Alligator mississippiensis: one gene and its partner. The protein of the gene in region 1 interacts with the protein of each later gene in a pairwise test. Links are inferred from orthologs where the notes say so. Each region holds a gene or a part of one and is shown in the gene's direction. Other genes may lie near its edges.

Region 1 (10,320 bases):
CAAAGAAATGTAGTTCTGGTATGAATTTCATGACCCAAACTCTTGCTGAGTGCAGCTGGGGGAAAACAAAGCCCTTGTGGACTTGAAAGTCCTAGGGAAACTTCTCTTAACCATATCACACACAAGAAATAACCCAGTATTGGAGCAGTGTGAAGTCCCACGTGGATCTCAAAGCAGATGAAGATGAGTAACTTCTTCTGGTATAGATTCATAGATGCTAGGGTCGGAAGGGACCTCAATAGATCATCGAGTCCGACCCCCTGCATAGGCAGGAAAGAGTGCTGGATCTAGATGACCCCAGCTAGATGCTTATCTAACCTCCTCTTGAAGACCCCCAGGGTAGGGGAGAGCACCACCTCCCTTGGGAGCCCGTTCCAGACCTTGGCCACTTGAACTGTGAAGAAGTTCTTCCTAATGTCTAATCTTAATCTGCTCTCTGCTAGCTTGTGGCCATTATTTCTTGTAACCCCCGGGGCGCCTTGGTGAATAAAACCTCACCAGTTCCCTTCTGTGCCCCCGTGATGAACTTACAGGCAGCCACAAGGTCGCCTCTCAACCTTCTCTTGCGGAGGCTGAAGAGGTCCAGGTGCCCCAGTCTCTCCTCATAGAGCTTGGCCTGCAAGCCCTTAACCATACGAGTGGCCCTTCTTGGACCCTCTCCAGGTTATCCACATCCCTCTTGAAGTGTGGCGCCCAAAACTGCACGCAGTATTCCAACTGCGGTCTGACCAGAGCCCGATAGAGGGGAAGTATCACCTCCTTGGATCTGTTCGTCATGCATCTGCTGCTGTACGATGAAGTGCCATTAGCTTTTCTGATGGCTTCGTCACACTGCCAACTCATGCTCATCTTGGAGTCCACTAGGACTCCAAGATCCCTTTTTGCTTCCGTTCCACCAAGCAGGTCATTCCCTAGGCTGTAGGTGTGCTGGACATTTCTCCTCCCTAGGTGCAGCACTTTGCATTTCTCCTTGTTGAATTGCATTCTGTTGTTTTCTGCCCACATGTCCAACTGCTTGTAGTTGTTCTCTGCCCTCCGGTGTGTCCACTTCTCCCCACAGTTTTGTGTCATCCGCAAACTTGGACCGAGTACACTTCACTCCCTCGTCTAAGTCACTGATGAAGATATTGAAGAGTATCGGTCCAAGGACCGAGCCCTGCGGGACCCCACTGCCCACACCCTTCCAGGTCGATACCAACCCATCCACTACGACTCTCTGGGTGCGACCCTCTAGCCAATTGCCACCCACCGGACTGTGTAGTCATCCAAGTCACAGCCTCTTAACTTGTTTACCAGTATGGTGTGGGATACCATATCAAAGGCCTTCCTGAAGTCTAAGTATACAACATCAACCCCTAGGATCCTAGACTTTGCCTAGGATGGTATAGATGGATGCATTTTATCTGGCCTTTGAATTACTCATTTTAAATAATTTAAATTATCCCTATAGCTGTAGGGGTTTAGGTTGTGGCCGTGTTGGTCTAAGGACATAGGCAGACAAGGTTCCTTGGGTGAATTTGATATCTTTTATTAGACCAACCTATATGGTTGGAGAATAGTTATTAAGCAAGCTTTCGGGTTCAAAAACCCTTCGTCAGGCTAAGGAAGCTTCAGCAGTTGGTGTGTGCTCTTCCTGGATGGAATGAAAAGTTTTCATTCCTCCCTATAGCTGCATTCACTCATAAATATGTTTAATAATTCACTCACAAATAGATGGTTAACAAACCAGGCTATCTTTTTGCCTCATGTTTTACCCAATATCGGGAGTGTCAAACATGTGGCCCACAGGCCAAGTCCAGCCTGTACAGCCAGGATATTTGGTCTCTGTGGCTCCTGGGAATTCAGGGATGGGGTGAGCAGGGGCTTTGGATCCCTGTTTGGGGTGTGCGTTAGTTGTGAGGGATAAGTGAGATCTGTGTTAACCCCTGCAGCTCTACCACTTCACCCACTCTTCACCCCAGCTCTGAGATGTATAACAACTGGAACCATATCTCTATCCTTATCAGCGTGATTTAAGCAGCCATTACTGGATTCCCTTATTGCCTCCACTCTTAACTCTCTCTCTTCAAACCCTCATGGTTGCAACCCTCACCCTAACTCAGTGGCCTTAGGCAGCTTCAACATAACTGTTGTCCAGAGAGCCCTACTGCCCCCAGAGATGGTGCCAAGCACTTAAATAGTGACTAGAGAAAGCTCCTGGGAAAGTCTAGGCAGACTGACTGCACAGCTCTTCACCTAAAGCTATTCCCTGTTACAGTTGCAGCAGGTAAGCACAACCTTGAGTGGGAAGGCACTTTATTGAAGAAATATACACTGTAGCAACACTTTGCATCAGCAGGAAACCACAATCTCTCCTTGCACTCTCCTTTTCTGGAGTGCAAAAGCCATGGAAAGAGGTCTTCCTATTCAGCCATGGGATACCTGCCTAGATTGTTCTCCAGTCCAGAGCTGGATTCTGCTGAGGTTACAGAGGGGACTGCGGCCTGGTAACCCTGCCAGGAGTTGGGCTTCCTGTCAGAGTGTTGAATGTTGCCCATTCCCCTTCTGTGGGCAGGCAGGGACTGTGACCACTGCTGTAGCAGCCAGCCTGGATTGTGGAGTATGTGCACCAAGTTCGTGGACTTCTGCTGGAGCTGTATACTGGTGCCCAGGCTTATCCCCTCTGCCTCCTGCCTTCCTATGCCTGTGGTACCCACATTTTAAAACAGCTGTTCTGATCCTGTGGGCTCTGACTATTGCCCTCCTTTGCTGTCCATATGGAATGGGTGTAGTCCAGGAGTGTCACTCATCCAGCCTTCTGGGCTGATCTACAGGGCCAAAAGAATGGTGTGTGGCTGGCCCTGTGGGCCATATCAGGCCCACAGACTTGCCCTTTACTCCCCTAGACTAGACCCAGTGCACATCTTGCTCCAGCCAGTCCAGGACTGGGGGAAAGTGTGTGTGGGGTGGGGGGGGATCATGTCTGGGTGTAACAATAAAACTCCTGCATGGTGTTGTATAGGAACTGAGCTGGTGAGGAGGTCACTCTGGTTAAAGCTGAGCATGCAACCACAAATTTTCTCAAAGCATAAACAGTGTCAATGACAGTGGGGAAAAGTATGTGTAGAATGAGAGGATGTGTGATAAGCAAGGTACGCAGGTATGGGTGTATAAATAATCTGTAAATAGCCAGTAGTAATAGTAGTAATAATAGCTATAAAAATAATGAATATGCAAGTAACAAAAGGTATAAAAACAGTTTGGGAACAAAGGGTCATTGGACACAGTGGCGACAAGTAGGGGGTGCACAGGGGTGCATGTGCACCCCCTGACAGCGCTGGTGTACACCCTGACAGCCACCATTTCCCGCTTAGGCAATGAGCTGGGGGGGCAGGCAAGAGCTCTGGTGCTCCCCCCCCGAGAGCACTGACCAGAGAGTGAGGGCGCCAGGAGAAGCAATCCCTGCAGTTCCCCCCTACCCCCCAGGGGTCGACGCGCCACTTCTGGGTTGGCGCGATTGGCCACAGGGGGACCCCCCCCCCTCGGTCGCTGACTGGCCACTGGGGGGGCAAGTGCCCCCCTAACTCAGGAGGCACCAATCGACCATGACTGGACAACTGCACTGCACTCAGTGGCAGGTGGAGGGGGATGAACTGGTGCATTGCACTCCCTTCCTCCCTGTTTGTTTCCTGGTCCATCCAAAGTTTAAAACCAATTGCCTGGCAGTGGCAGCAGCAGCAGCATTTCTAGTCAGGCAGCAGTGAGGAAGTCACTTGACTTTATGGCTCATTATAATCTACCAGAGTCCTTCTAAATTCTTCATTCAACAAGTGTTAATGGCTCTTCCTTCTTTTTAATGGTCTTGATGGTCCACCAAGCAAGCTAGCTTTTGTTATGCAATTTGCTGCTCCTGGTAACAAAACTCCTATTTCACAGCCCCCCAAACTGTTTTTAACTCATTCCAATGAAGACTTCTTTGTTGCGTCTCCAATCCAACCTGGTCTGTTCCCAGTATTCTGCACAGGTCGCTGCTTCTGGTGTTGGTGTTGCCAGACCTTATAGGGTACATTGTGGTGCCACAGGGCATCTCAGCAGATGATCCGCTGTTTGCTTCTCCTGAGAAACATGTTGGTTGCATAGAGGTCCCATGATTTCATGAGAGAGTTGCATCTTGCGAGACCCACTCTCAATCTGTTCAGGCTCCGCCATGTGTGCCATTTGTAGTTGGAGCCGGATGCCAACTCCTCACTACAGAGAGTTCCTTGCTGGTTCCGGTGAAGTTATATTATTCGAATGAAGTAATATTTGTTCTTGCTTCAGTCAAATGGAATAATACAGCCTTGAGCCCCTCGCATGTTAGTAAAGGTTCTAGCTTATTTTTAACTGGAGAAAAATCAGTGTTGTTTTATACACAATGAATCGATGCACCTCAGCATCTGCACTCCCTCCCCTCCTGGCCTTTCAAAATCCTATGTCCATGAGACCCTGTTTTCTCATGGGGACAGATAGCAAGACTTGCTTAAGATAGTTTTAAGGTAACTAGCGCATTTCTTGGGGTCAGAGCGTGCGCTGTCTGCCGAGGAAAGCTCCAGGAGTGGTGTGGAAACGTCTCCAGCCTTCTCTTCCCCCAACAACCCCAACTGAGTTTGGGGTGAGAGAGCAGGCTGGGAGATGTGGTGTGTGCTATGTGGGTGCCTGCTGTGGCAAATGTCCCTCTGTGGGCAGAGAGTGGCCTGGCATGTGCCACATGTGGGTTAAGGCCAGACTCAGGGGTAGCACCCAGGGGCCCTATCATGGCCACCTCTGGCCCAGCCTGAGGTGCCTCCAAGAGACTGCCCCCAAGATACTGCTCAGGGGCAGTCTCTGGGTAGCCTGGGTGAGCTGTGGCCACTGTTGCGAGTCTTAAATATGAAGTTATCATGTTGGAAGCTCAAAATGATTGCATTTGCTGGAAAACAATTGACAAATATGCAAATAAGTATGCAATTAAGTTGTGTTTTCCTTGACTTTAAATTGCTCACTCTAAGTCCCAGTGAGTGAGTGAGAATTGGGTCATGAAAGTGGGGGCTGTTCTTTATTTCCAGGTAAGGAGTCACCCCAAAGTGCGGCCTCGTGAAGGCTCAGATCAAGCGTAGTGGCTTCTGACCCTGGCAGGGGAAATACCATGTATCTGTGTCCAAGAAGGCAGCTTTCCTGAACCACCTGGCAGAGAGCTGCTCTTCTGGCGTGGCTCGGTACCCACTGAGGTGCAGCGGGTTTAAGCCGTTTATGGACATAGGAGTCCCCTCCCTTGTTTGCTCTGACGGCCGTATGGCTAAGGACAAGCAAAACTTGGGGGCATCCGAACCCCAAACCACTGGGCTTGGGCCTGCAAGTAGGATGCCCACCAAAGGTTTTGGAAACACCTGAAGCCCCAGGTGCGGGTGGAGGATGTTTGCCAGTAGTATGGCCACTTATGGTTCTGGACTCTTGGATTTGGAATTAGTTTTGTCTAATTTGACCTCGGATACAAATTAAATTAAAACAAAACAAAGAAGCCCCTGAGTGTTGCTTAAGACTCGTAACTTGGGTTTTGCGTCCAATTGCATCAAGTGGGTGCCTCAAAAATTATCATATATTTTGGACGCTTTTTTTATTATTAACCTTACCAGGGCTGACATCATTGCACAGACACACCCCTCGCGCACGCAGACGCCGGGGCGGCCGTTGCTAGGGCCGCGGTGCGGGTAGCAACGGCGGAATGCGGAGCCGCGCGTGCGCAGCGAGGGGGCGGGACCTGGCGCGGTGCATGCCGGGAGGCTCGGAGCCGGCGGGGCGGGCGCTGTGGGCCGCGATGAACGCGGCGGTGGTGCGGCGCACACAGGAGTCCCTAGGCCGGGTCATCCGCAAGCCGCCCCTCACCGACCGGCTGCTCTGCAAGCCGCCCTTTCGCTACCTCCACGACGTCATCGGCGAGGTGGGCCTCTTCGCCCCGTCTTCGCGTCCCCGTTGCCAGGTGCCGCGGGGGGCGGGGCCACGGGGGTGCTCGGGGCGGGCCCCGCCCCCTGCGGGTCTGGGGCCCTGCAAGGGCCTGGGCCTGGGGGCTTCCCCCTTGCCGCCAGCCTGGCAGCCAGCTCGGAGTGCGGCTCGGGGCGGGCAGCAGAGCAGGAGAACAGCAGAGGATGGGCCTGGGAGGTGCGGGGCAACTCTGTGGCTCCCCCCCACCACTGCTCTGAAGCCTGGTACTGCCCGTGGGAGACTCAGTTCCTCACTGGAGAGTAGGGTCCTCCACCAGCTTGTTCTGTGGCCCCCATCCCATCCCTTCACCTGCCGGTTTCCACCCCATAAACTGTTACAGGGGAGGTCCCATTCAGCCCCATCCTCCCCCCCCCCCCCCCCCAACCTCCGTGCTGCCTGATAATGGTGCACCAGCGCTGACCTGGAAGTGCAGAGCCCCTTCACTGAAGGAGATGTTAGATATTCGCATTAGTTCTTTTTTTCTGTTCCCACCTGAAAAGGAAAGAAAAAAAGAGACTTGGTAAAACCCTCTGTTAGAAACAAGGCAGGTACCAATAGGTGTGGCAGCAGCAGGAGGAATCAGGACTGGGTTGAAAACACCCAGGCCTGTGGGTCAAAGTCATGAGTTCCTGTGAACAAGTGAATGCAGGAATTTTCCAGACTAAAGTGAGTGAGATGTTAAGCACCTGGGGAAATGTGTCCGAATTTATTCTTCAGAGAATGTCATGCTGCCCTAAAATTAAATGAATACAAAATACTGACCGACACCTTTCAATGAATATGTTGACGTGAGCGAATGACTGACTTCCCTCCAAATAGAATAATAGAAAATGAGGGTTGGAAAGGACCTCAGGAGGTCATCAAATCCAACCCCCTGCTCGAAGCAGGAGCATCCTCAACTAGATCATCCCAGGCACGGCTTTATCTAGCTTGGTCTTGAAAACCTGCAAGGATGAAGATTTCATCACCTCTCTGGGTAGCCTGTTCCAGTGCTTTATTACCCTCCTTGTAAGAAAGTTTTTCCTGATATCCAACCTAAACTTCCCTTACTACAACTTGAGAATGTTGCTTCTTGTCCTGTCATCTGCCAGCACCGAGCACAGTCTAGCTCTATCCTCTTTCCAACTCTGCTTCAGGTAGTGAGTCAAGCTAACAGATTTGCCTGCTGGAACCTTATACAAGAAAATAGTGTTTTTGCTGAGGTTTTCTAGCTGTTCTCAGTAATTTACCTTTCCTTTGTTTTGAAGGTAATTAGAGTGACAGGTTTCATGAAGGGGCTATACACAGACTTTGAGATGAAATCTGATAATGTTAAGGTGGGTATGAAATTTCCTTATTTCATTATACCCAGCATGGGCAGTTACTCCTGTGTTGTCATACCCAGTTTCATGTAACAAACCTATCTTTCTTTTACAGTTAATGTTTTGGGGGAATAGCCTCAAATGTAGCTTTTCTGAATATATGAGATGGTGTCTTGTGGCAGGACCTAAATTCCCCGATTGTGGACAAGAGACCTATGGTGCTACATGCTGTAGAGATACAAAATGATTTTTCATTTCTGCACTGAGCATACTGGAAGTTAAAGATACAACACCATTAAAAATAATAACTTAAAAACTATGACTTCTGCTTTTTAGGTTCTTTTTTGCCCATTATACATCCACAGACAACTTTCCTCTAAGACTGTATTTTCTAGGGCTAAGGAGGGGATTGTTATGTTTTGTTTTACGTGCCCCAATGGTTTGTCTCTGTTTTTGTTGATATTTTAATGCGTATACAATAACTAAGGATGATTCAAAAAATAAGTATAAGTGTTTTGAGTTGCATAACAACATACGTTGTATGAAAGAATGGCAAATCCTTTTTATGTTTACAGCAATGTGATCTTGCGGGGGGTTGTACAGTGAAGTGTATTATCTGAGTGTGTGCTCTTTTCTGTTCTGAGAGGTCAATTTTACTACAGCTTGAAAAGACAAACAAAAATTGTATCAGCTCTTTACTTTCACTGTTGTAACTAGCACTGCTCTCTGCAGTGAATTAATGATATTTCCAGAGATGCATATACAATGCACAAAGTGCTTTATTCTACCCATATTATGAGATGTGCTTTTTCAGTTTGTCTCCACATGCAAGTGGGGAAGTTGTGCCTACTGACAGATTTTCTGTCTATGGAGAGTAGTTATTTTTGTGCCATTTCCCTTTAAGGCGAAGTCTTCCATAGGTAATTGAACTCTTGGGCAGATGGTACCCATGTAAGGACCAGTGATGCAATATGGCCACCCTACTCATGCTGTTCCAATGATTGCTTTAGTCTTTGTTCACATTTGAGCTGTACTGCATCCTTGAAGTTGTATTGATCTCTGGAGAGGAACCATCTCACTGTTCCCTCATCCCTAAAATAGTGGGTTTCTGAAGTCCTTGAAGGGAAGTGGGCAAGATGAATGAATCGCCATCATTACAAACCTAACACTTATAATAGGCTTTTTTGGCAAACAGCTACTTGCCTGATATGCATGATGGATGGTTAACCCTTGATACCCATTTCAAGTGCTGTAAGTGCTGTGCAGCAGTGTCAGTTGTATGGCTCAGCAGCAGATCAGGCTTGGTAGACAAGAGCACTGGCATTGTTTCACAGCTGTTTGTTTTATAGTTTCAAGGCTTCTGTTAGCAGTGGAGAAACAGACTGGCAGTTGGTTGATTGAATCATCTGACTTTGAGAATGGCAAGGACATTGGTCTGTAACCTGATTGGTATATTTAATGCAGCTTAAGCAGTGCCTTCAATATTGAGATCAGTGGGAGAGGGCAAATGACCTGGGCAGATCACATGATTTAAATCACTGCCTAGTTAGTCAGACATGACTTAAATGGCTTTGTCTGTACTCAGAGAACTTCTGTGCTTTGAATTCCTAGCTTTTTGTTTCAAAACAGAGAACAGGATAAAGATTCAGCTGTTGCTCTATTCCTAGTTAAGAGTTCCTGCGGGAGCTTTAAATTGTGATACGCTGAAGGACAGTGAAAAGTGTTCCAACAGCATCTGCAGGGAATAGCAAGTTGAACTTCATATTGAATGACATGCATGCTTCCTCCTGGAGTGGCTAACTTCTTGTAGCATATGAGGATGATGCTCATGGGGTTGCTGATGACAGTCATGGGGCTACAGACCTGGGAAGAGCCACAATGATGGCTTAATTTCAAAAAGAGGATGGTTTTTGGTAGGGCTGTGCAAAGCTTTGGGTGTTGATTTGATTCAGAGGAGATTCTGCCTGATTCAGTGGCTGAATCTCTTAATCCAAATTGAATTGGGACCAATTAAAAGGTCCGAATTGATTTGAAGCGCTCTGAATCTTAGGAAAAGATTCAGAGAGCTTCAATGATTCGGGCAGCCCCTGCCTGCTGAAGCAGGGAGCTGGACCTGGAGTCAGAGCTGGTAAGTAGGGGAGGGGGGAGGGAACCATGGTGGGACCCCTGCCAGGCCCCATCTCCTGCCTGCTCCCCCAGCTCTCACTGACCCCTGCCTGCTCCCCCAGTCCCCCCATGGCTGCCCCGCCTGCCCCAGCTCCAGGTGCTTTAAAAAAAAGCCCCACTCACCGTGTGCTGCCAGGTCGGGGGTGGAATTCCCACTGCCCCATGCTGCATGGGGAGCTCTGCACGAGCCCCCTGACCCGCCCTGCTCTCCCAGGCCCCGCCATGGCTGCCCCACTCACCGCAGCTCCAGCCCCTAAAGAAAAGAAAAACCCCAAGAAAAACCCCAGGACTCACTGCTCTTATAGTGGACTTGGGGCTTTGGGGGGCTCATGCAGAGCCCCCCATGTGGCAGGGGCAGTGGGGATTGCCCCCTGCTGGCAGGAATGGTGAGTTTAGGGTTTTTCTAGGTTTTTTTTTTCTTAAAGGGCCAGAGCTGGGGTGGGCAAGGCAGCCATGAGGGGGACTGGAGATTTGGGGGGAGGTTGGGGGGCTCGTGCAGAGCCCCCCATGTAGTGGGGGGCAGCGGGGATTGCGCCCCTGCCCAGCAGCACCCGTTAAGTCAGGGCTTTTTTTTTCAAAGTGACGGGAGCTGGGGCAGGCTGGGAGAGTGGGTGGGGTTTGTGGCCTGGATGATTTGGCTGAATTGATTTGGGACAGTGATTCAAATCACCAGATTGAATCACTGTCCCCCAAATCAGCCGAATCCAAAGTGAATACTAGCCACTTTGCACAGGCCTAGTTCTTGGTATCCTTGTTGTGAGCTAGACTTAACGGTTTAGTACCTCGGAGAGTGAGTTTGCTCACTGCAGGGGAAAAGCATCTCTTTGGAAGCTGGCTGTCCTGTGAATTTACAGATTAATTCAGCAGTAGGATATTG
Region 2 (9,647 bases), on another chromosome or scaffold:
TATCTTGTTTGGGGTTAAGCCCACTCAAGAAGGGATAGTATCTTTTGTCCTGTACAGCATCAAACAGAGATAAACATTTTGTCAGTGAGTAAAACGGCATTTTAATATATACACTTTCAAAGAACCAATACAGTTATGGACTATACTGATGATACAGAGATGATAAACTAAGCCTGTCTCCTAGCATTACCCGGTCATGCCAGAAACAGAGTTTTTGTTTTTGTTTTAAATGAAAGTTTAGATTCCATCCTCATGTTTGCAAAGAAAAACTTGAAAATATGATGCTAATGTTACTGGTGCTGTGAAGTGTGCTAGACCCAGAGGAAGCAACTTTTCCTCAAACCCACTCTTCAGGCAAGTCAAAGTACTCTCCTACACTGGCTTTTGATATGGTGTGGCTTAAACATCACTGGTCACGGAAGGCAGAAAAGTAAAATGCCAGTATTCTCTCAGGTGCGGTCCAGTTTGAGCAACAGATGAAACCTCTTCCCTTGCTGGTGAGTGTTTTAACTACTCAACTGCACAGTCAGGCTGCCCCTCAGCTAGAAGAGAAAAAAATAGAGCCTCAACACCTTCCTGATTGTCCATGTCACAATACTTTGTTTGTCACATTTTTCTTTACAATCTTCTCTGCTGTTTTTATGAAATGCCCACTGAAACAAAAGCAAGGCCCTGGCTGTTCCCAGCTTGTGTTCATAAATCCTATTAGTACAAGCACAAAGCTTGGTAGGAATGGAGTTCAGTTGATTGAGTGTAACAAAGCAGTAAACGATTATATAGTGTCCTGGCAGTTGTACCAAATGATGAGAAAACAAAAACATGTTTCACAGTTCTTTAATTTTGAATTGATTTTGGGATTTAAAAAAACAAACAGATAAACTATTTCCAGTTGTTTAGTTGGTGACATTTTCTGATAACTAGAATAAATTTGAAGGGGAAATATCCCTGCCAAGGCATTTGGGGTGTTGTATAGTGTTTAAAATGTCTTTACTCTTCTGTAGACAAGGTTCCTTGGGTGAATCTGATATCTTTTATTAGACCAACCCAAATAGTTGGAGAATAGTTATTAAGCAAGCTTTCAGGTTCAAAAACCCTTCTTCAGGCTAAGGAAGTTTCAGGAGCTGGTGTGTGCTCTTCCTGGATGGAATGAAAAGTATCTTCCTGGATACTAAAAATCACGGACTAAATACAGACATTGGATTTATGACACATTATAACCTGCCTGACATCTGACTCCCCAGGTATCTCTCCACTATTCATCCCCCTTCTCTTCCCGCCCCCCGCCTGTCTCTCACCCATTGACTCCTCAGTCTACATTTTCACTGACTACCCGTCTTGTATGCATACCAGCCCAGCCCCTGGCTTCTTTACTTTTCATTCCATCCAGAAAGAGCACACACCAACTGCTGAAGCTTCCTTAGCCTGACGAAGGGTTTTTGAACCCGAAAGCTTGCTTAATAACTATTCTCCAACTATTTGTGTTGGTCTAATAAAAGATATCAGATTCACCCAAGGAACCTTGTCTGCCTATGTCCTTCGACCAACACGGCTACAACCTACACCCTTTACTCTTCTGTAATATACTTAGTAAAACCCAGTCAGTTCTAAAAAAGATGAATTCAACCTTAGTATTTTTCAGATGCCAAAATGCTAGGATCTTTTACTTTTGTTTTGTTCACTGTTTATCCTTGTGCTCTACATTCTGGGAAAAGGAATAGTTCAAGAGCCAAATAGAAAATGATTAACTGATTATCTTGCAAGACTTCTACAAACAGAATAGTTGTGCCTGCATTGAAACTCACCCCCAAGATGGAAGAGTCCAGTTATGTTCTCACAAAACAAGAGATCTCAAGGGAAAACCCTGGTAGTTGATATCGAGTCTTTAATGACAATTAAGCTGGGCTGCTCAGCTGGAAGGCATCAGAAGCTATCCATCAGTGCTTTGGGCTCACTGCTGTCAAGAGTGCTGATCCTGCAGTGGTGTGGGGGAGGGGGCATGCACCCAGTGCAGCAGTGGAGGAGGATGCATGGGGACGAGGTATTGGAGCGCTATGCAGTAGCAGCATTGTTGATGTGGCCTCTAGTGCAGCCCACAGTGTTCAGGCCCCAGCTGCTGAAAGGATGGGCTGACCTGATCTACAGTTTCCAACACTGCAGCTCGCTGCATTTGTATTTTCCCGTAAGATCTACCATCCAGTATGATTCATCTTAACACTTAGGTTTGACAGTATAATTTGCAGGGCTCTGAACTATGCTGTTATTTCTTCATCTTCACAGAAAAAATGCGTTGTGTTTGATCTTTATATAATCTAAATTGTGTTGGACAAGGAAGCCCAGCTTACGTGTGTCTGTAGAGTAGTTGGCTTTTGATCTAGCAGAAAATAGATCCTTTTTTCTTGCAGTGAATTATGGTGATGATTAAATAAAGAGGCACAGAAATACGAACTAAAATTATTGTGCACTCCCCTCCCCGCAAAAGAAGCTAGCCAGTTGGTGGAGCGGGTAATAATGGAATTGGCAATAGCCTGTTGCCTATAATGGTATATCCCTTCAGTCTTCAGACAAAGCAGAAGAACATGATCCTTCGAGGTGTGAAACACCCAAACTCTGATCTTGAAAAATAGTTACATGCTTTGCTGAATTGTAGCCTTAATGCACATACTTAAAGTTCATCTGTTTTGAGCAAAGCACTTGAGTATGTGTTTTCATTTGAAGGCAGTGAAATGTACGTGTGTGTCTAAATGCTTTGTTCACTAGGGGTGAATAGCCTTTTGTTGGGTGGGCCAAAGTCATCAGCACCTTCCAGGATCAAATCTGTAATGCTTTAACTCTGGTTGCTGTCACTGGGAATGAATGGTAAAACATCAAAGGAGGGAAAGGACTTGACATTTTGAAGTTAGTGGAAGTTTTGAGCTAGATCCACAGAAGAACATTAAGTGCCCACATCCAAAGTTTAGATCGTCAAAACCTGCTCAACTATCACCTAGCCCTGGAGGCAGCTAAAATGTTTCCTAAGTACTCAGATATTTCAAGGGTGTTAGCACTGTTAGGTCTGCAAACACGATTCACAGCGTAAACTCAGAGATTTCAAACAGGAGTCCACGGTGCTAGAAGAATTCTGATCTGTTGCAGTCTTTCTGATTCCTCTGCAACAGAAGGATTGTCCAATTGTTTTTCCAAAGTAAAAATAAGTGAGTGAATACTAAGAGCTGGCCTTTTCTGAGGGGTGCCTTGAGTCTAAAAAGGTTAAGAATCAACTGTACTACCCACTGGAAGAAGCAGTGCTAGATGTGACAGAATCCAAGTCATTTTGTGACTCTAAACCCTTGTCTATAGTTTGGGCTCTAAGTCTTTCCAGATCCAGCCCTAATCAGCAACAAACAAAGGTCATTAGCATCTAAAAGTTGGTTGCTGTATGAAAGAGCTGTATGATTGCTCAGGGCTCCAGACTTGGGCCTGCACGTAAGATGGCTGCCAATGGATTTGGAAGCATCTGAAGCCCCCGGATGAGGTGGAGGATACTTGCTGGTAGCAGGGCTACATATGGTTCTTGCACGATTCAAATGAATTTGGATCTGATCTGGGTAATTTGACTTGGGACGTGAAAAATTTCCTTAAAAAAAGACTTCTCTTTGCAAACAATTAGCTCTGTACCTTTCACACAAGCACTAGGTTAACATTAAATGTTTTTAATGGTTCTCTAACCTACCATCTAATGTTTCTCTCGCATAGTCTCTCTAGCATACTCCAATATCCCTATGGATTTCAAAACAATAATGCCCAAAGTGTCCTGATCTTTACAAACATGGTTGTTTCTTTTTTAAAGATCCTATTCCCCATGATTTATGACCTAAAATACACTATTCACCTTATCAGTCAAGGTCTGAGATTTCTTAGTATGGAGAAACCTGGGAAAGGATGTTGGCGTAGCCCTCCCTGGGGTGAAGGGTTACAGTGAATCGAGGCCTGAAAGCTCTGTGCCCTTGTAACAAGGCCATGTGTCACTGGAGGGGGGAGGGAAGCAACAGGTGCCTCAGGTTAGTTCTGGGTCCCTGGTGTAAAAAAGTGCTAGTGGATGAGTGGCCACATGCATCAGTGACATGCGGCTAGCCCTGGGCCAGTCTGCTAAAGTGGTGTTGCAGCAGCATTGCCAGGTCTTAAATATGAAATTATCATATTGGAAGCTCAGAATTATTGCATTTATTGAGAAACTATAATTCACTGAAAAAATGTGCAAATGAATATGCAGGTAAGTCTTATTTACTTTATATTGCTCACAGTATGTCACCAGTGAGTGAGAATTGTGTCAAAGTTGAAGCATCTCTATTTTGAGATGTCATAGCAAGTGCTGACAGCAACCCTAGAGGCCTCTTGAAGGCTTAGATCAAGTGTAGTGGCTTAACCTGGCAGGGAAAATACCATGCATCTGTGTCCATGAAGGCATTTTCCTGAACTGCTACACAAGAGAACTGCCCTTCTGGCGTGGTTGCAGTGGCTTTAAGCCCAGTTTATGGAAATAGGAGTCTCCTCCCTTGCTTGCTGGGGGGGCCTTATGGCTGACAGCAAGTGAAACTTGGGGGCATCTGAACCCCAAGCCTCTGGGCTTGGGCTGGCAAGTAGGATGCCCTCCAAAGGTTTTGGAAACATCTGAAGCCCCAGGTGCGGGTGGAGGATGTTTGCCCGTAGGGGGGCGATTTCTGATTCTGGACTGACTCAGATTTGGAATTGATTTGGCTTGGAACATGAAACATTGTCTCCCCCCCAAAAAAAGACACGGACATACAGTTTTTGAATGATTTAAAGGCTTCAGAACTGATCTGGCTAATTAGACCTGGACCATGAACCTCCCCCCCCCCAAAAAACAAACACCAAACCGCTAGAAGCCAGTTAAAAGTTCCTGGTTTTGCATATGCTACATTAATTAGCCGCCTCAAGCATTATCCTACGGGGTAGTGGTAGAAGGGGTGAAGTTATGGTACAAATGCAGTAATTCTCCTACACCGGCAACACCGCGTCTCCGGCCCTAAGAGGGAGCCTCGCAGGGCCGGGGCAAGCAAAGAGCAAGCCCGCACCGCTGCGCGCTCCAGAGCCGGGACTCAAACGCCGAGGCCTCGCGCGGCTAGTGACTCAGGTGCCTGGGGGCAGAGCCCCGGCACTACGCAGCCGCCATGGGTGGGGCTACGGCGCCGCTCTAGCAGGACCCGCTCACTCCTAGGGCGCGCTTGATCCTCGGCGGCTTCCGTCGCCCCCAGTCACGGCCGGCGCCCGGCCAGCCCCGCCCCCCGTCCCTCATTGGCGGATTCAAGAGTCGCGGGCTCCTTGAACGCGGCGGCGGAGCGGGAGGCGGCCGGGTACGCTCCGGACGAGGCCGCACGGCGCCCCTTGCGCCCCCCACCTGCGGCAGGATGTTGGACGAGCTGGACCCGGAGCAGGAGCAGGAGAACGTGCCCCCCGTGGGCAAGGCGCTGCCGCCCGCCGTGCCCCGCAGCCGCACGGTGCTGGGGGTGCTGCGCGAGAACCGCCCGCGCCCGCAGGCAAGGGGGGCGCCACGGGGCGGGGGGGCCGCGGGGGGGCGGTGGTGACGGCCCGCCGGCGCTAACGTGCGTTGCCCCCCGCAGGCGGTCGCGGCGGCGGCGGCGGGCCCGTCGCGCAAGGGCGATGGCGGGGCCCGGGCGGTCCGCGCGCCGCAGCCCTTCGCCGTGCACGTGGACGAGCCGGACGGGGGGCGGCGCGGCCGGGTGGGGGCCGCCAAGCGCGCCGGGCCCGCACTGCCCGTCGCGGGGCTCCCCACCGACAGGAAGCCGCTGGTGCCGCTCGACACCGCCATGGACCTCAGCTGCGGTGAGTGCGGGGCGGGGCCGGCCCGGGCGGCACCTCCTCCTCTCCCCCCCCCAAGCAGGTGCTGGGGGCGGGGGGAGCTGTTCTGCCCCCGAGGGAAGGGGACCTGACTTGTGGAAATCTGGCTCTGGCTGGCGCCCCCTATCGCCCCCCCCCCCCCAGGCGCAGGTCAGATTAGGGGGTGCCCACCCAGGACGGGAGGGGGCAGGAACTGCATTTGCTCCAGCCCAGACTTGTAGCCCCCTGCTTTGGGCAGGACTGTCCCTCTCTCCACGGTCCTAGGACGGCATCTGGGGAAGCAAACTCGGGTTCACAAAAGCTTGTGCTCTGGCTTGCTCACATCCTCCTGCTTGCACTCCTGTTCTCGCTCTCAGGCTGTGCAGGTGCAGGTCGGCCCTGACTTCAGGCTACCATGGCTAAACCCCCTCAAACCATCCTTGACAAAGATTAGGATCTTGGGGCTCTTCTACATGTGTTGGGGGAGCTGCACTTTGTGGCTCTGAGAGCTGCTCTAACTAAAGCACCACAAACTTTCATGTATCGGTGTCCCTGCACTTAAAAATGGCAGCAGGAGCACTTGAATTTAAAGCACTTTTAAGTGCAGGGACACTGATGTACAAGATGCAGGAGGCTGCTAGAGCACAGCTGTTGCTGTATTCCAGCAGACTCTATTAATTGAGTCGGTTCCAGCACATCGGAGCAGCCTCTACACTTGTGTAGGTGCCTACAGGGAACTAGGGCTAGAAGGAGCTTCACCACGTCCTTTGGTCCAGTCCTTTGCTCCAAGCAGGACCATCCCTCTGAAGCACCCTACGACAGCATTTGATGACATGAACTTGGGTTCACAAAAGCTTGCTTTCACTTTCTCTTTTCCCTGCTTCCTTTCCCCTGCCCCCTAAAAATCTTATTTGGCGTATAAGGCGAGGTACAGACACTGCACATAAACTGGTACAAATGATCAGAAAACGGTGTAAAGCTGTAATAGAAGTTTAGCATGTGCAAACCGGTTTCAAACTGGGGGGGACTTGGTCTAAGATAGATCTGGATAGATGCTGTATTAGATTTAATCAGTTTAGGATAGAGCAGGATTTCGAACTTCTGTCCCAGATCCTGCAGCAAATTGTCTGCTTTGGCTGTCCTCCATGGGTGAGCACTATTCTACAACCTAAATATCCTCTTTTTAACTGATATTCCAAGTGTCCCTAAAGTCATTGTTCTTCATTGGTGTCTTATGAAAAGCTAACTTATGAAAATGTTGCTTGTGCATCTGCATGCGACTCAGACCAGCTTTGGGGATTCCCTGAGTCCAGCAGTTCCTTTAGCCTGTAACTTACAAGCTTTGAATCCCTGAAACAGCCAGATATCCCTTCCCTGTGCCTTACCCATCTGCTTTCCCATGAATTTCCTCACTCTTCTTGCTACTGTTACTTATGAGCTGCTGGCCCTCTTGAACTCTCAGCCTTGTCAGGGTCTGGCTGTAGCAGCTCAGAGCTTCAAACTCTGAAAGGCTTTAAAGACCTAGTGCAAGTTGCAAAAACTAGAATACACACTGGAAACTTCCATTTGTGCAAGTACTAAATGGTTCTGGCAAGTTGACTAGAAAACTAGGGTAGCTCAGGTAGACACTAAAATAACATAAGGCAAGAGAAGTCCAACAGTCTGCCCAATTAAAAAATTCTGGCAGAAGACTTCTCAGTTGCCTAATTTTGTGGCTTCAGCTAAAATACATGCTAACATCAGGCTGTCCCCTGACTTGCAGGCTCCACTTCAGAGTACAGGTCCATACTCCTATGAAGATAGCTTACTATGCTAGTATGAAGCGTCTTCCACCAATTTTTCTTTCTCCCACCCCATAGATGAAAAAGCCCTTTGCAACAAAGCCCATAGTTGAAAAAGCCCTTTGCAACATTTCTCTGTTCTTAGTGCAGCCTAGGTGGCTCAAAAAAGGCAAAATGCCAAAAACAAAAAAAACCCTAGGTCCTGGGTCACCAACATAATCGTTCTGCTCAATGCAGTCACTGTACCATGCGGTCTGAGAACTTCTGTAGGTTTAATGTGACTACTGTCTTGCACTTAGATTCTCCAAGTATTATGGATATATCTATAATCCAAGATGTGGAAGAAAGAGTAAATGTTAATCATGTGCCAGACTACATTGATGATATCCATAAATACATTAGGGAAATGGAGGTAAGATGCCATGATTTTGTTTAAACTTTTAAGGCAGCTTAGCTCAGGATGGTGAGGCTTGTGGGTCTAGTCCCTGGAGGGGTGGCAGCTCAAGTAGGAGCTTATAATTGGAGAACAGACTGAGGGGAAAGGGGAAGAAAAGTGAGCTTCCTGTTGAGCCCTTCTAGAATAAAAAAACCTGGCTGGAATATGCACTGAACATAAAAGAAAGGGCTTGAGAATGGACTCTGAAGGACCTTGGGCACCAGTATTTGGATTCTACTTTACGTATAGTACAAGTATTTAATTTGTATGTTAGTGGAGGGTGGTTTTTAAATTCTCCCATCTTTGTTGCACTTTTGGTCAGGTAACTTCTCAGCCAGGGTCAGTGCTAATATCTCACATATACTAACAATTCCCTTAACAGGTGAAATGCAAGCCTAAATCTAACTATATGAAGAAACAGCCTGATATAACAAACAATATGAGAGCTATTCTTGTGGACTGGCTGGTGGAAGTAGGAGAAGAATATAAACTACAGAATGAAACCCTGCATTTAGCTGTAAATTACATTGATAGATTTCTTTCTTCAATGTCTGTTCTGAGAGGAAAGCTTCAGCTTGTGGGTACTGCAGCTATGCTGCTAGCATCGTAAGTTAATTTGACATCATTGCTCTTAGAATGAGGCTGTGTGAGAGACATATAGGGGAAGGGAAAGATTATCTTAAAGCTGTGTCCTTTCAAAACTCTGTTTGACCAGAAGCCTTAAGATATCTATGTTCAAGTTTTTAAATCTTTTGGAAAATGACTTCATATTTACTCAGATTTTTTCATTTATTAGTATCTAATGCACCTGGCTTCTGACCTGGTCCGCAGAGCTTGTGTAGCTAGAACATTCCAGGTATTATTCTGGAACAGTCTTGGGCCCTATAGTCTACAAAAATGTGGAAGGAAACAGAAATCATATTCATACTGGAATTTTTATGGGTTTGCCAAGATTCTTAGACCTACAGGAACTTAATGTGTGGACTTAATGTTAACTACTTACTTATACTAAGTTAGTCATGTACTAGGAATAGGTTATATAAGTAGAGCTGAGCTCTGAGGAAACAGTTGCTCCCTATCTTGCTAACTTATGTTGGACTAGGGTGGGAGGGAGAGAACTACTAGTTGATAGACCTGTTCCTCTTTCTAAGTGTATGTAACAAGTTGCTTATACTTCCTAATCATAGAAAGTTTGAAGAAATTTACCCTCCAGAAGTTGCAGAATTCGTCTATATCACAGATGACACCTATACTAAGAAGCAAGTATTAAGGATGGAGCACTTAATTTTGAAAGTCTTGTCATTTGACTTGGCAGCTCCAACAATAAATCAGTTCCTTACTCAGTACTTTCTGCACCAGCAGGCAAATGCTAAAGTTGAAAGTTTATCGATGGTAAGTGTGAATCTGGCATTAAGCCCAATGTGCAGTCAGAAAGCTCCATCTTAGTACTTCAGAGTAGGTTGGGGCGTTTCTTTTCCCATGGAAAAGGAAGGAATGCCACTTGGTGACAAATATTTACCCATTCTTAAGAGTTCTAACGACCAGAAAATATGGAGGTCTAAAACATCAAGTTTGCATCCTTGTTAGATCTCCAG

Evidence for each region.
Region 2: the proteins of TRAF3IP1 (region 1) and CCNA2 interact in a two-hybrid assay, tested with the Homo sapiens proteins (2 studies listed by BioGRID and IntAct). The link is inferred for Alligator mississippiensis from reciprocal best matches to the Homo sapiens genes TRAF3IP1 and CCNA2.

What each region holds. Positions count from the first base shown.
Region 1 is NC_081827.1:183,386,838-183,397,157, reverse strand, and holds the start of TRAF3IP1 (TRAF3-interacting protein 1), read left to right. Parts: upstream 1-5,766; 5' UTR 5,767-5,767; coding exon 5,768-5,974; intron 5,975-7,223; coding exon 7,224-7,292; intron 7,293-10,320.
Region 2 is NC_081825.1:114,576,451-114,586,097, reverse strand, and holds the start of CCNA2 (cyclin-A2), read left to right. Parts: upstream 1-5,310; 5' UTR 5,311-5,405; coding exon 5,406-5,534; intron 5,535-5,618; coding exon 5,619-5,841; intron 5,842-7,915; coding exon 7,916-8,028; intron 8,029-8,434; coding exon 8,435-8,658; intron 8,659-9,239; coding exon 9,240-9,444; intron 9,445-9,647. UniProt on the Homo sapiens protein: Cyclin which controls both the G1/S and the G2/M transition phases of the cell cycle. Functions through the formation of specific serine/threonine protein kinase holoenzyme complexes with the cyclin-dependent protein kinases CDK1 or CDK2.